Linked DNA regions of Oreochromis niloticus. Each later gene encodes a partner of the first gene's protein in a complex. Links are inferred from orthologs where the notes say so. Each region holds a gene or a part of one and is shown in the gene's direction. Other genes may lie near its edges.

Region 1 (7,700 bases):
TTATTTTTACCATTTTGCCCGATGTGGTATTTACTTCACATTTTCGCAAGTTCATTCATTCAAGTCAGATGGATAAAACATTTGCAGTATACAGTAATATTTTGACTTAGAAGTACAAATTTAAGAAGTATATTAAAAAAAACAAAAAAATCCCGTCTGATGCTGTGGATTAACGTCTGGATAAATAAAAATGTGTTTTAGTTTTTGACTTTTTAGGCTGTTGTCACAGACATAAAAATAATTTACTGATGTTTAAGAAATTAAACAATTTAAGGAGAATACTCGTCTTCATTCACAAAGAGAACATTTTAAGTGCTTTTTATTTTAGCAGCAGATTAGATAACTCTTCTAATGCAATTAGTTAATTTATAATGATGTTAAGTGCTCTGTGAGCATTACTACTTATTATTATTACCCTTCAGCTGTAAAAGGCTGACCCTGCTCGGGGGCGGGGGGCAGCTGGCATAGAAACACAAGGTTGTGAATGTGATAACTCGAGAACAAGGCAACATACGATTTTGAAACTGATACCATACGGACCTACTAGAATACTGAGGGGTAGCACTGGCATCCACCAGTATTTTTGCACTTGACAGGCTCATTTATTCTTCTTCTGTCTACAGATTGACCTCCAGAAGATGCCACTTGGTAAGCTGAGCAAGAGGCAAATCCAGAGTGCCTATGCTCTCCTCACTGAAGTACAGCAGGTCAGTGACAGTCAACAGCTCCTCTGAGAGTTGCATGAGTATTTATGTTGGATTTCTCTTTATATAACTCTGTAATGCTTTGAAATCCATTTTAATACTATCGTTTGGCATGAATTTTGGACATAACAACTAGTCCTTGTGTACCAGTGGTTGGATGAGATCTGTGCAGCTCCTGATCATGCAACATTTACATTTTTAATTTACTTTTGTTAAAGGCTGTGTCAGAGTGTGTGTCTGAGGCGCAGATACTGGATCTCTCCAATCGCTTTTATACTCTAATACCTCATGACTTTGGCATGAAGAAGCCTCCACTGCTCAACAACCTGGACTACATTCAAGTAAGGACTCATAAACTGCCCAATCTAGAGTTTGACCTTTCTTTGTCATGTCGCCGCTAAGCCTAATGCAGAGTTTAAAAAGGCTGATCTTTAATGCATCACTGTTTAGGCTAAAGTTCAGATGTTGGACAACCTGTTGGATATTGAAGTGGCTTACAGCTTACTGAGAGGAGGAGCCCAGGACAATGAGAAAGACCCCATCGACATAAACTATGAGAACCTCAAGACAAAGATTGAGGTAAGGAGTACGGCTCTTTAGAAAGTAAAGTTTTCTTCTTAATCATCAACGGTGTGCAAGGTTTCATTTTTGCCCTGATGATCGATTTAAGTTTTGACATTTAAAAACAAAAAAATGCATGTAACACATCTGTTGTTTTACAGGTTGTTGACAAGACCACAAGTGAAGCTGAGATCATCTTGCAATACGTTAAGAACACCCACGCTGCTACACACAACACGTACACACTGGAAGTACAAGAGGCAAGTCTTTTTTTTCTTTTTCTTTTTTAATTTATTGATTGATTAACTTGGTAAAAACGGGTTTAAGCAGGAAAACCGCTTCATTTTAATGGTTAGATTTAGAAACTTAGTTTGTTTTCTGATTGTGTTTCTGTATTTTAGATATTTAAAATTGTCAGAGAGGGAGAGCACCAGCGATATCGTCCATTCGAGGAGCTTCACAATCGCCAGCTATTGTGGCACGGCTCTCGCACCACCAACTACGCCGGTATTCTGTCTCAGGGTCTCCGCATTGCCCCTCCAGAGGCCCCAGTGGTGGGTGTTGTTTTGAAGCCAGCTTGATGATAAGATGTGAAGAATTAAAAACCTCTCCTTTAATAAATACCCCAACTTTACCCATAGTTTCTAGTGTTTAGTCCTGCATAACATTACAGTCCTGCTTAATTTTCTCCAGACTGGTTACATGTTTGGCAAAGGTGTGTACTTTGCTGACATGGTGTCCAAGAGTGCAAACTACTGCCACACCTCCCAGTCAGATCCTGTAGGCCTCATTCTGCTCGGCGAGGTTGCTCTAGGAAACATGTAAGTGACGGTCTGAATGCAAAAAAATATATATTTCATCCTTTGAAATGTTGGCCTGACTGTGTAAATAAATGCAACCTCCTTTTTAATTAATGCAGGCATGAACTGAAGAAGGCTTCTCATATTACAAAATTACCTAAGGGCAAGCACAGTGTTAAAGGTGAGAAACATAATGGGTTGCAACATTTTAATTAGTATTATTTTTCTTAGTGTTTGGTTCACATGGCAAACATTGTGCTTAAAGCTTTATATTTCTGTTTAGTCTGTGTCTCTAACTGTAATTTAGATCCACACTTCTCAGCGTAGTTCTTAACAACGCGATGAAATTCATCCCACCAGGAAATATTTACCTTTGTGTCTGTCAGTTTTTAAAACTGCGTGTGTGTGTGTGCATATAATAATATTCACTTTGGGTTTTTTTATTCCAGGTTTGGGTAGAACTGCTCCCGATCCAAATGCCACTGTCACTTTAAATGGAGTGCAAGTGCCTCTGGGAAAAGGAGTCCACACTAATATTGATGACACAAGTCTGCTGTACAACGAGTATCCTCTAATATTAGTTTGTTTGGTTATATGTGTAATGATTTTTTTACCTGCTTGTCTGTACATAACCTGTGCAGTTAAAAGGTGAGTCAAATTTGTTAAATTTCTATCTTACAGTCAGCGGCCATTTCATTAGGTGTATCTGTTCATTTGTCATTAATACAAAATCTAATGATCCGGTCGCATGGCAGCAACTTGGTGCATTTACACGTCAAAGATCAAAGAGAGGTTTACAATAGGGAAGGTAAGTTAAGTCACTTTCAACATGCAGTACAAATAAGGTATAATTAATAAAAGGCCAGTGAGTTCACCCATGGAAACATAGTTTTATAGCTTTCTGTCTTTTAATAGGTGAATATTGTCTAACCTACTTTTCATTGTGTAGCTCACCCAGCTGTCATGCATAAATCGACTCATTTACACTGCTTATAGGAGTGAAGACATGAAGATGAGACAGTTGAAGGGTTGTGTTTATGTTCTAACAGCAGTCACCACAAAATAAATTGTCAGGGTATTTGTGTTTTCAGCTTAATTTGTAACTTTTTATTTTTTGATCATCTGTGCCACCTGTTTTCTTTAACCGTGCTCCCTCAGGTACATCGTGTATGATGTAGCACAGGTAAATCTGAAGTATCTTCTGAAGATCAAGTTTAACTACCAGACATCCCTGTGGTGAGAGGGGCTGCGTACGAACCTTCTTCATAGAGAAAGGAAAAAAAAAACCACTGTTGCCTCCAAAATGCTTGGGCTTCATTCTCTGCAACCGAAGATGTTTAAAAAAAGGAGTGATACTAAACCGTCCTTCATGGTGGATCCTTGGAAATCTCTTGTCACTTTATTGTGTTTTCGCCAGGTTTATTAAGTGGCAGACTTCCTTTGTAATACATTAGGTACCTAAATACTGGCTTCTTCACATTGCATACATCAGTACATGGAGAGGTCTGGCGATAACTTCAGAAAGTGTTGGTAATCTGTCACTGGAGAAGGATCTTATTTTCCTGTAGTTCATAAGGTATAGTCCTGCAAGTTTAGGAGTGTTCAAGAGCCAGTCTGCAAACGTACACAAACCAATAGTTTGCTGTGAATCCACATTAAAGTGAAGACTAAGATACTGTAAGCATTTTGACATGTATATACTTGTTTTGTTCGCATCTCTAGCTGTCTTCCTCACTAAAAAGTAAAAAAATGTGATGCAAGGCGCTCTGTAAAAGATTAAAACAGCCATACTAAGTGTTTACGTTTTTTTTAATGTCTTTTCCTTGCTTCTCTCAAACCCAAATAAAACGTTAGACATGAAGAATTACATGTTTTTCCTCATTCCTGAAGTGTTTCTTTCAGTTTGTTGAAGAAGGCAGAAATCAAGGTCAGTTGCTAAGGAGCACTTCTGGGAATGGTCTAACCTTGATGAAAAAGCAGGCTTTGGCTTGATTTTGGCAGGACATTTAAGCATTAGAAACTGTTTTGCCTCATTTCCCATTGGCACTGAAGGGTAACAAAATGAGTTAATATGCAAAAAACCCAACAGGATTTTCTGTATTTAATGGTACCAATTTATGAGCATACTAAAGTGGAAAAATTGGAAGAAGAAACTTACACATTCTGTGAGATTAGAAACTCATTTGCACAAATGAGGTTTTTTTGTAGTTTTTCATCTTTTTTTTCCCCTCACATCTAAGAAAAAGATTCCAAATGTATTTGGGTATTTATTCATTAATAGATAAATGCAGTATCCTATGCTGTCTTTTATGTTGTGTATAGTATACACAAAATCCTTCTAGGTATAACTGCTGGTAAAAATAAATACATTTACTCAAGAGAGAACATTTCATTTCAAACACAACACTTTCCCAACAATGACTAAAACGTAAAGGAGAAATGAACGATAAAATGACTGATGTGGCGTCTGAAACAATGGCTGGCTGCTATGCTCCCATTCCGAGTCAAGTTTTTCATACGAAACGGTTTCCCAAGCATTTAACTTCACATTTAACATGTAAAAGTTGGATGTGTAGAAAGTGAATGTATATGTTTAGATAAACAAACGACTGGAAGCAGTTCTTAAGCTACCGTTTAAGCAAATTACGGGATTTTTATTTCTCAAATCGCCCTCCAGATAGAGTCCCGACCCAGAATGCATTTTGACAAGGTCTTTGAAAAAGCGGCGCGGCTAATTCAAGATGGCGGAGATGGACCAGCTGTTAGACGAGAGTGAGTAACAACACAAATTCAAGGAGTTTTGCATTGTAAACAATCAGCAGTCCCGCAGTGATAAAATACATAACTGGCCAAAATCCGATATCGCTGACCATGTAATGGCTATCATAGGTTCTGCGCGGACTTCATAAGCTCATTTTAGACGCAAACAGACACCGGGTCTGTCCAAGTCAGCTAACGCTTGTTAGCGCTAGAGGCTAACCATGGCTAATGTTGGAGTTGAACAAGTTACTTTAGCACAACTGGGTGAACAAATAACGTTAGCTTAGCCCCGAGCTAACGTCTGCTAACCTTAGATCGCGAACAGCAGGAACAAAAAGGCTGCCGCTACGCCACTAGCTGCTAACAAGCTATCTGTTTTGCTGGACTTATTTTTTATTTTACTGATTTATTTTAGTTTTCCATGACACTTTCCTCATTTTCAGCGTTCCTTTACCCTGGTTATAGTTAAGCTTCATGTATCATTATTGATCTTGTGTAGGGAAACTTGCCAGTTCATTTGTCTGTTTACACCTGAAACGGTCGCTGGGAACGTACCTAATGTAAATAACGTTATTTTACAGCTCATAGCTTGTCTGGCTCGTGTGTCGATACAAATTGCCCACAGCTGATGTTACACCCGTGTCTGACAGCTCCAGTTAGGGGTAAAGGCCTAACCGAGTGCGCTAGCTTTATTTTTAATTCCTGTTCACCTGCCTGGCTGCTGTCAGTGTTTAAAGCACCATCTTACTGGTTCTGTGACAGCTAAAATGAGCGTATCGTAACTTAAAAAGGAGAACACTAGCAAATAATATTTATCAAAGTTGCATGCGTTTTAGATTTAGTCTATGTGGTATTGCTTTTTTATGCTTTTTAATGCTCTACAGTAATGTAGCCTAAATTGTCCTCTTCCTCAGGTTCCTCAGCAGAGGCACTCGTCAGTCTTAAAGGTATGGATTCCCTTGTATTTATGCTTTTTACTGTTTACAAATATACTGGGTGTTTCTGTAACGTTGACTCTAATTCCTCACTATATAGATTAGATCTGTGTCAGATCACGTTGGTCAGAGTTCTGTAATAGTTTCTAATTGCAAGCTTACAGGGCATAGTGGTCCTGTTATTGTTTGCATGTGATTTTGTCTGTTGGCAAAGGTTTGTTAAGATATAATTACTGATTTAGAAACTGTTTTTGGTGTTCTTGTATATAAATATGTTGGTATTCTCACAGAGGGCAGTTTGTCCAACACTCTGAATGAGAAAAACAGCTTCCCACGAGCTCACAACACCAGGGGACGGCATTCCTCTGTCACAATGGACACGGTAAGAGAATGCAATGAAAACAATGAAAACTTCGAAAACACAGATAATCTATTACACATGATGCTTTAATTACTAATATGAATAATAAGGTATAATGGTTAACATAGTCACCTTACTGCGTAATTATGCTTCAGTGGGAAATTTGTGCCATAGCTATGTCATAACAGCAAATCCCTCTGAAACCCTATGAAGAAACCCTAAGGCATGACATGACGCACACCTCCACTGAAATGGAACTAAATGTGGCGTTAGTGTAAGCCGCAGCTATTGTGATTGGCCTGTTCAGTATCGCTGATTCCTCCTGATGCATTTCCGGTTAAGTTTTTGGAACGTTTTGGAATTTATCAGTGAAAGAATACCAATCATGTCAAAGCTGCACCAGATAAAATACTATCCACTGTGGTGACCCCTTGGGAAATAAGGGAGTAGTTCAGTGTATATTTTCTTTCCTTTTAGCAACCAAGAAGTTAATTGTTACAATGCAGTATTGTAATACGGTGTTTGAAATGAAAAGAAAATCACAATTTCTTTTTGGAAAATGAAAAGAAAGAACGTCACTTCATCCTATGTGAGAGAGCAATGGCCAAAAATGCTAGTGTATTTGGAGCAGATATTAATTTTCTAAAAAGTGCCACGTCGAATTACAGCTCAATAGAACCAAAAGAAAGCTTAAAGGAGTGGATATTTAAATAGGGTCTGTTTCATAGATGGCAGTAAGCATTGTGAATCATAAACAAATTAAGTGGTTCTTTCTCACTATGGATATATCGTCAGTGTTTATGCATGGTTACCACCCTTTGCTTATCTTACCAGCATAGTTAAGTCTTTTGGCGTTTTGTTTTCCAGCTCAGGAGTTGAATTTTTTGCCTCTTTAAGTTTGTTATTGTCAGTGTAATGGAAGGAAGGACTGGAAGGAAAATACATTTCATCTCATTTTGCATAAATGGGGGTCTTTACGTTTACTTAGATATTGTTTTAGAACCTGCGTATTATACATGAGAGTTCCCAGAATAACATTTGTTTTAGCCAGGCTATTTATAACACAACATCCCAGAATTTCTACTGCTAACAGACACCTAATATGGAGAATGCAATAATGTTACTTATAGATTGTTGGTAATATTTTGAATTTACATTTTTTTTCTTGCAGCCTACACGGAGCTCGAAGCGGAGCCGTTTGTTTCGAGATGAAGATGAGCCACCGCAGCAGCGTCTTCCGTCCAGATCTCCACGGAGGAGCCAGAGAGTCACCACCACACCACAGGTAATGATTGCACTCTTCCTTATGATCGTGTATATTGCAGTTAATACATTGTCCTGGTAATGCTATGTGACGAGACATATAATACGTGGGTGTTTAAAAGCTTTTGTAGCCTAAAAGTTCAACTTTATTAGAGGATTGTTTTGGTCCAAAAAATTATGTGTTTATACCTGAGCTGTTTTTGGTATGGGGGTCAACCTTCAAAAAGTTGAACATCGACCTTTGCTGCAGAATTACATGTAGTATTTACTGAAAGATTTATTAGTGTAGCCTATTATAGGAACTCAAGAGAGAATC
Region 2 (7,449 bases), on another chromosome or scaffold:
CAAAAAACATTATTATGTCAGTATAAAAGTTTTATTTTGATTGTGTGCATTATGTGGTTATGTGAGACATAAACAAAAAAATGTGTTTAATTTAATCTATTAATTTACATTTTCTTACGATGGTAGTGATCCTATGATTTGTTGTTTTTCTCATGCAGATCTGGCATTTGGCTCTACCGTTACAATAAAAAACCTCCGTATTGCTGGAGGTTATTTGCACTCTCATTGGCACTTATACCCAGAAGGAGTTGGCGCAAGGCAGCAGCAGGTCAGGCTAATTGTTGAAAACTGAAATATTTTATATATTTATATTTGTAGTTTCTTTGTTTTTTTAACTTTAAATGTTTTCTTATGATTTGTTTGCTTACAGGTGACAGCCTACCTCCATAAGGACTACAACAACTTGTGGGTGGTTCACAGACAACAAGATAATAATTGTGAGGAACTGACATTGATATATTTAACAATGTTGCCAAAGACAATGTTAAAATCCAACTAGGATAAGGAATTGTTGTTTTATTGTTTATATCTATTGTTTTGTTTTGTTTTTTAAAAAAGCTCAATCTGGCAACCCTGATCTTGTTCGCCATGGTGATATCGTTCGACTGGAGCATAAAGAGTAAGTATTATGAATGACAAGAAAAATGCACATTTTATTTAAAGTGATTCAGTCTCAGTTCCTTCCCAAATCTCTTTGTGTGTGTGTGTGTGTGTGTGTGTGTGTTTCTTTCAGGACAACACGTAACCTTCACAGTCACCTCCATGAGGCGCCTCTGACCAAGAAGCACTTCCAGGTTACAGGTTATGGCATTGTAAGGAAGGCTTTAACATAACATCTGCACTAAAAATACAGATTCAGTTGGACTTGACATATTTATTGCATATTCTGTTTTGGGGTTTTATGGGTGTTCTGTACACCAATACTAAAATTATTTTTGGTCTATTCTTAGAATGGCACAGGGGACGCCAATGACCTGTGGCAGATGGAGGTGTGTGGAGGTCGGAAGGGTGACCCAGTAAAGGTGCTGCGCAGCAAAGTTCGCTTTCTACATCGAGCTACCGGCTGTGTGCTTTACTCCTCTGGCAAAACTCTTCCAAAGTGGTAAAACTAGCATACTTTTAAATTTGAGATGACTTTGTACACAACAGGTCAAAACGCACTACAAATGTTGTTTCTGTTTAGGGGCTGGGAACAAATAGAGGTGACCTGTAGTCCCTACTTGAAGGAGACCCCAAGCTCTCAGTGGAACATTGAGGACCATATTAATCCAAAATGTATGATCAATTCATTCAATGTATTCCTATTTTGTGTTTGCACTTCTTGATGTCAGACAGCAGCTAACATGTTGTGTATTGTGTGTTCTGGCAGTACCCAACATTAGTCTGTCTGTGCTGAAGCCTAATTTTCTGGAAATCTTACTGGAGTCCCATATTGTTATGTTTAGAGTAAGTAATAATAAGAGAATAAATAAGCTCATCTGCTTTAAAAGAAAGTGCATCTTCATTTCTTTTCTTTTTATTTTATTGTCTTTTAGGGAAATAGTGGCTTAAAACCCAAAGACAATGAGATGAATTCAAAACCTTGGCACTGGCCCATCAACTACCAGGTGCATTACACTCTATATAAAATCTATTTTAGTTATATATATAAATATAAATTTATACTTTTTATCTTTTAACTTAATGTAATTTGTTTCCGTGAAGGGCTTGAGGTTTTCAGGAGTAAATGCGACAGAGTACCGCGTTTACCTGCTGGGGAACCCTGTAAGTTTGTTTTTAAGTTTTTATGCTTACAATCTCATTTAACCAGCAGATCAGTGTCCTCATGGTGAAAATGGTTTTCAGGTGGTGTGGTGGATAAATCTGGCCAGTTTGGGGTTGTATTTCACCATGGTGGCGGTGGCTTCCATAGCCACCCAAAGAGGTTTTTCACTGGGCCAACAAAGAATAGGTATGGTAAATAATGGTGGCTTAACAGTATGCTTTTGCATAGTGACTTTAAGTAAAGTAGTATTGTCCTGTGTTTCAGAGCATTCTCTTGTGCTTGTGAGAGGAGGTGGACTGCTGATGCTTGGTTGGCTCCTGCATTATGCACCTTTTTTTACGATGGGTCGTATCCTCTACTTTCATCACTACTTCCCTGCAATGCTCTTCAGCAGCATGCTAACAGGTACCAAACTGTGCTGGATTTCTGTATTCCAACTATAAAGTGCAGAGGGTAGTGCAGAGTTACAGAACTGAAGTAGAAGCCACACATAAGAAGCTTTTTTCAGCAGGTTTGGTGGGTGTAGCCAATACTTCACTTACAACTTACTTCACTTAATGGCTTGCATTAGAGCCGACAGTGTTTGGGACACAGTTATCTCAGTTTTGCATACTTGACTGACAGTTGTTGCAATTTTGGTTAAATAATTGTATTTTTTTCCTCCAGGACTGACGTTAGACATCCTTTTCAGAAGTGCTGACCTTCTACTCCACCCACCTTATTCTTATTGGTTCCAGCGAACTGGGCAGCTGCTGCTTCTGTTTAGTATTCTTTACAGGTGAGCTGAGTAGTATGAAGAATCAGCTTGTTCTTAACACTGTCAGAAACAGCCTATCATTACTGTGAGATATCTGCTACATAATGTAGTTCTTTATGATACTCCATCCATTGTTGTATACTTTGATTGATGCTCTTGATGCTCCTAATGGTTTAATAAGCCATGACGTTCTTGTAGCTGTGGATGAAAAGATTATGAATTATTAAAGGATTGTTATTGTTTTGTTGAGAATTAATGACAAGATTAATACCTACAGTCCATCATGATTGATAAATCATTTAAGTTAAAGGAAGCAGGTGCTCTTAATATGCTACATATTGTCATGTATATCATGTAGATGTAATACAGTTTTCAAGTTTGGATGGACTATCATACAGATATTCTAATAGGATTACAACTTTCTCATCTGGCTCTCAGCAAGAAGCTTCTCTGCTAATTCTTACTAAATATGAAAAGAATAATTACACTGAGGGTCTTACATGAACTTCTTGCTGCTGTGACTTTAGATCTCACAGCCCATTTTAGCACATGAATGAAAGTTTTTCATCTGCTTAGTGTAACTGACTGTGATCCATTCATTGTCTGTCAGTTTCTACCTGTTTCATCCGCTGTCCTATGGCATGACGGGTCCGCTAGCACACGAGCCGGGCAGCGCCATGGCTGGTCTGAAGTGGATGGACTCCTGGGAGTTCTAGTCTGCTTTGCAGGAAGATGACACTAATGATGTGACTTGCACCAACTGTTCTGAATATAAGGGACTTAAAACTGACAGAGTAGAGTGTTTGCACATAGAAGTGATTCTTAAAAGGTACTGATTGAATTTGTACGTGTCTTAGTATTTGTGTCACAGCATTTGCACCTGACGTTGTCTATCATGCATGAAGAATGCTTGATAAAGCAGACCTAACTCAATGCAATGTGAAAGCCAGATTGTGGTGTAAGTGGGAATCTTAACTTTGTCTCTGAGAGGCCTTAACTAACATCACAACTTCTGTTCCTAGATTTAATGTGTACTGTAATTCAAAACAATAAGCTAAAGTGCCTGAAAGGAAAAAGGTTTTAAAAAGTAAGTTTTAAAGGTTTAAATGCTACATGTCCCTGATTTTTGTTTTTTAAATTTTGTACATAGTTGGAAGCTATTAGACTGTATTTTGATTAGGGATTTTCTGATTTTACTCATTACTTAGTATTTTGGTACTGTACTTAGCCAATAGTGCTTTGTTACTCGCTATTTTTACACTAGGTACCGACTCTGTGTTTACATTTTAATGTGATCAATAAACAGTGATCCTGCATTCTGTATCTTTACTTATAAAGTTTTCTGCTTTTTTTAAGTTGAAGGAAATCTTTAAATTGTTTTTATGTTCTGTACAATAACATGAAGCATGTCTTTATTATTATATTGAGTTGAACCTTTTTTTATTTTACTGAGATTAAAATGATATTTTCAGTGTTGATAATTAAAATATGAATCACCACTTGAGATATCCCCAAAAGCTCAGAAATGTGTAGAAATCTGATAAAAGTCAAGAGTTCAAAGTATCATTCCAGAAATATCCCTGTAATAGCATAAAAAGTAATAGGGTATTGATTGTTTTAAAACATTTTTGTCCAAAATTTTAATTCCATAAAAATTATATCCAATATAATTACAAAAGGTCAAAATATCCTTAAATCTGAAAACTTTACACTGCTTGATATAGGTCCCCCTTGAAAATAATTACGTATAATATAATACATTGCTTTGGTCGCAGGTGTATAAACATATTCCTGTGGTCCCAAAGTTATATTGTTAGTTTAAATGTAGGAACCGAAGTCACCCCGATCAAAATATAACCGTCAGTTACTTAGTGTTCGTTGTATATTTTTTCTGATTTGAACTTAATACTGGGTTTATGCTCCAACATTATACCAGCGGGCCGCCTGGTGGCGTGTTTCTGAAGTACACCACATACACTCGTCAAATGTCAGAGCTGCTGCTGCCGCTGCCATTGGCTGTCGTTTATCACGTGATTATTGTGAAGATGGCGTCTCCAAATGGAGGTAAATTCTAATTCTTTACCCTGCGACGCTGTGTATAAAATGTAAAATTGAGATCTTTAAGCACATTAAACCGTTAAGAACTATAATCCTGTTTTAGCTGAAGACCCACAGACGACAGAATACGCATGTTAGTGCCGTATTTTTGCTGTTTGGACATGTTTTTCCGTTGGCTAAAGCCCTCACTAGCCCCGGCGTTCGGTCCAGTAAATGGGGAAGAAGAGCGGGTAGCAAGCTTGAATTCTGTCGTGTAGTCTGACTCACAGAGCTGAAGCTGTGGATGCTGCTAGCTAAAATATTAGCTGTTAGTTACTGCTGTACTACTAACAGGTTAAATCATCCCTCCTTAGACCAGTTTCATAACAACTACAGTGTTTTTGTTTCGGTTGTATTTCTTTCTTCTTCTTTTTTCTAACGTTTTTTTCTGTGTTGTACATCTCGTTACTCTTATTAATGGGAGCTGTGTACTTGAAATTTATCATTTTGTATGTTTAACAGTAAAGCGCCGTGTGTTTTAAAGATGACTGTAGACACTCACTGTTGTACCTCTTTCGTAATTTCTTCCATACAAATTGAGAGTAATTTGACCCAAAATTTAACATTGCAATCCATCCAATCTAGTCTTTGTGTAATTTGACATACCTCAGCCTTTTCTCCCCTTTTCCTCAAATGCACATTGCATTCTGTAAATATGCCAGGTTTGGGGGTAATAGCTCTTTGGGTTCCTTGATGTGCAAATGCTAATTTATATTGTCAGTCCGTGTTTCATTTGTCATTTCTTTGTAGGCTCAACTGAAGAAATTAGAGAAAATTATGTTTTGCAATTGGCTGCTAGTAACAAAGTGCCTAATACCTCTTGAGTTAAGTGATTTTGTATGCTTGAATGAATTCATAGATCAGTGTTAAGTGGCTTGACAAACAATCCTCTTAAAATGGTCACGTATTAATGATTAGGTGGAAAATAAGGGGAAAAGTAACAAATGGCCAAAGAAAAACTTTGAAATATCTTCACTAAATCTGGAGAACTACTGGTCAACACTGGTCAAAGTCTGGTTCAGTGGAAGGAAAATGTAAAGAAATGATGGGTGGCTCAAGACTTTTGCACTGTACTGTACATGGCATTAAACATGGAAGAAGATGCCTGGGGCTGTTAAAATAAGGTGTTATCACACGATTTGCCAGACAGACTGGCTCTGACCCAATTTTCTGCCTGTATTGTCACTACTGTGTGTAGGTCATGTTACTGCTGAGCAGATAATGGTACACAGTCAATCAGTGTTTGTGAAAGTTTGTGAAATACATTGCTGGAAAGCTGGTAAACAGCCCAGCATTTTCCACTTTTTATACAATTGTGACATGCTGTATGTATACATAGACAACTTCATCATCCCTCGTTAATTCTTAAGGCTGTTACGTCCCTGTAATTTCACTGGATGGATGGAACACCACCATTCTTACTAAACATAGATCCTTATCTGTTATTTTTTAATGGAGCGCCTTGTGACTTATAAGTCCAAAATAAGGTTTAGTGACTGTGAGTACCATAGAATTTGATATAGATGGGACCATTGTTATTCTATAAAAGACAACTTGCATCAAAATAGATTTTTTTTATTATATGATAAAGGTGATCATTCAGCACAGCTATGTATTGATTTTAGGAGACTCATGTTTCTCTGAACAAGCCACTTATTCAGCATTATTCAGTGTTGCAGGGAGAATGGAGCCTATCACAACTGTCACTGGGTGAAAGATACCCAGGGATTTTTTTTTTTTTTAGTAAAGATGTTTTTCTTCTGTGAAAATCCATCCATCTATTTAGTGCCACTTACATGTTCAGGGTTGTGGGGGAGCAGTCTTAGCAGAGATGCTCAGACCTAGCTCGTCAGATGCCTGTACCACCTGAGCTGGCTCCTTCTGATGCAGAGGAGTAGCAGCTCTAAGGGAACGCTGAAACATCATTTCACGATGTCATTCTTGCATTTGTTGCCCACAGTTCATGCCTCGTGGTTACAGTAGGAACTTAAATCTACTGGCTCTAATTTGTTTTCTTTGTCTCGATAGGTGATGATTTTGAGTCATCATTGCTGAGTTTTGAGAAGTTGGATAGAGCATCCCCAGACTTGTGGCCAGAGCAGTGTAAGTTTATCTCCTGCGCCTATGTGACTGGTTACCGTAGCATTTATTATGCATAAACTTTATTATTCTCTGATCTCTCATACAGTACCTGGAGTCGCAGAGTTCGCTGCATCTTGTAAAAATGTGAGTTAGATTCAATATGGCTGAGTTTGAGTTACACATTAGAAACATAAATAGGCTTGTCACACTTCATGATGCGTGATCTGTAACTCTTTATCACAGCCCATCTGCAATTCACCCCCAAAATGGATGTCAGATCTGGAGAGTGAGGATATTGAAATGTTGAAAGGTTGGTCCAAATAGCCAAAATTATGTTTTTTTTTCCCAGACAGATTTTTCAGTTTACTTGTTACAGTTGGTGTTAAACAGAAAGACTGGGGGACAGAGGCAGACTTACTATATAATCCTGTCAAATGGGTTAACATTTTGCTGAAGTTGGGTTAGTGCTTTTATTATGGGTCTTATTATCCTTCTGTAGAGCTGGGTAGCCTGACCACAGCCAACCTGATGGAGAAGGTCAAAGGACTTCAGAATCTAGCGTACCAACTGGGCTTAGAGGAGTGTAAGTAAACAAACAGCACACACATGCCAGTGTACAGATAATCCAGCCTTTATACCTTTAAAATCACTAAGAGTTCGAAAAGGATGTGGTCACATGTTACCACTAGATGGTGCTCATAGGCCTCTCTTGGGTTTTGCTTCTCTGTCTGGAAGAAGTAACTTCCCA

Evidence for each region.
Region 2: the proteins of lin9 (region 1) and lin52 are in contact, whole or in part, in a crystal structure (PDB 6C48), measured with the Homo sapiens proteins. The link is inferred for Oreochromis niloticus from reciprocal best matches to the Homo sapiens genes LIN9 and LIN52. Residues at the interface, in NP_001353174.1 of Homo sapiens: Leu335, Gly336, Phe338, Phe342, Leu343, Ile344, Val346, Thr347, Leu349, Ser350, Lys351, Leu353, Met354, Lys356, Lys357, Ile360, Leu363, Arg364, Asn367, Thr368, Ala370, Glu371, Lys374, Ile382, Phe384, Gln385, Tyr388, Ala389, Val392, Leu395; in NP_001019845.2 of Homo sapiens: Asp61, Met64, Leu65, Leu68, Gly69, Leu71, Thr72, Thr73, Leu76, Met77, Val80, Leu83, Gln84, Leu86, Ala87, Leu90, Asp93, Glu94, Glu97, Met98, Arg100, Gly101, Leu104, Asn105, Ile106, Leu107, Glu108, Pro110.

What each region holds. Positions count from the first base shown.
Region 1 is NC_031980.2:10,100,206-10,107,905, forward strand, and holds the start of lin9 (protein lin-9 homolog), read left to right. Parts: upstream 1-4,693; 5' UTR 4,694-4,806; coding exon 4,807-4,837; intron 4,838-4,924; exon of another isoform or gene 4,925-5,385; intron 5,386-5,739; coding exon 5,740-5,772; intron 5,773-6,050; coding exon 6,051-6,142; intron 6,143-7,292; coding exon 7,293-7,406; intron 7,407-7,700. Other genes in the region: parp1 (poly [ADP-ribose] polymerase 1), read left to right, coding at 624-707, 923-1,045, 1,155-1,283, 1,427-1,525, 1,667-1,819, 1,959-2,086, 2,185-2,246, 2,515-2,629 and 1 more. UniProt on the Homo sapiens protein: Acts as a tumor suppressor. Inhibits DNA synthesis. Its ability to inhibit oncogenic transformation is mediated through its association with RB1. Plays a role in the expression of genes required for the G1/S transition.
Region 2 is NC_031983.2:9,853,310-9,860,758, reverse strand, and holds the start of lin52 (protein lin-52 homolog), read left to right. Parts: upstream 1-4,438; coding exon 4,439-4,586; intron 4,587-6,647; coding exon 6,648-6,722; intron 6,723-6,807; coding exon 6,808-6,845; intron 6,846-6,944; coding exon 6,945-7,011; intron 7,012-7,200; coding exon 7,201-7,284; intron 7,285-7,449. Other genes in the region: pomt2 (protein O-mannosyl-transferase 2), read left to right, coding at 159-268, 371-437, 559-619, 734-812, 951-1,102, 1,184-1,275, 1,370-1,446, 1,536-1,607 and 5 more.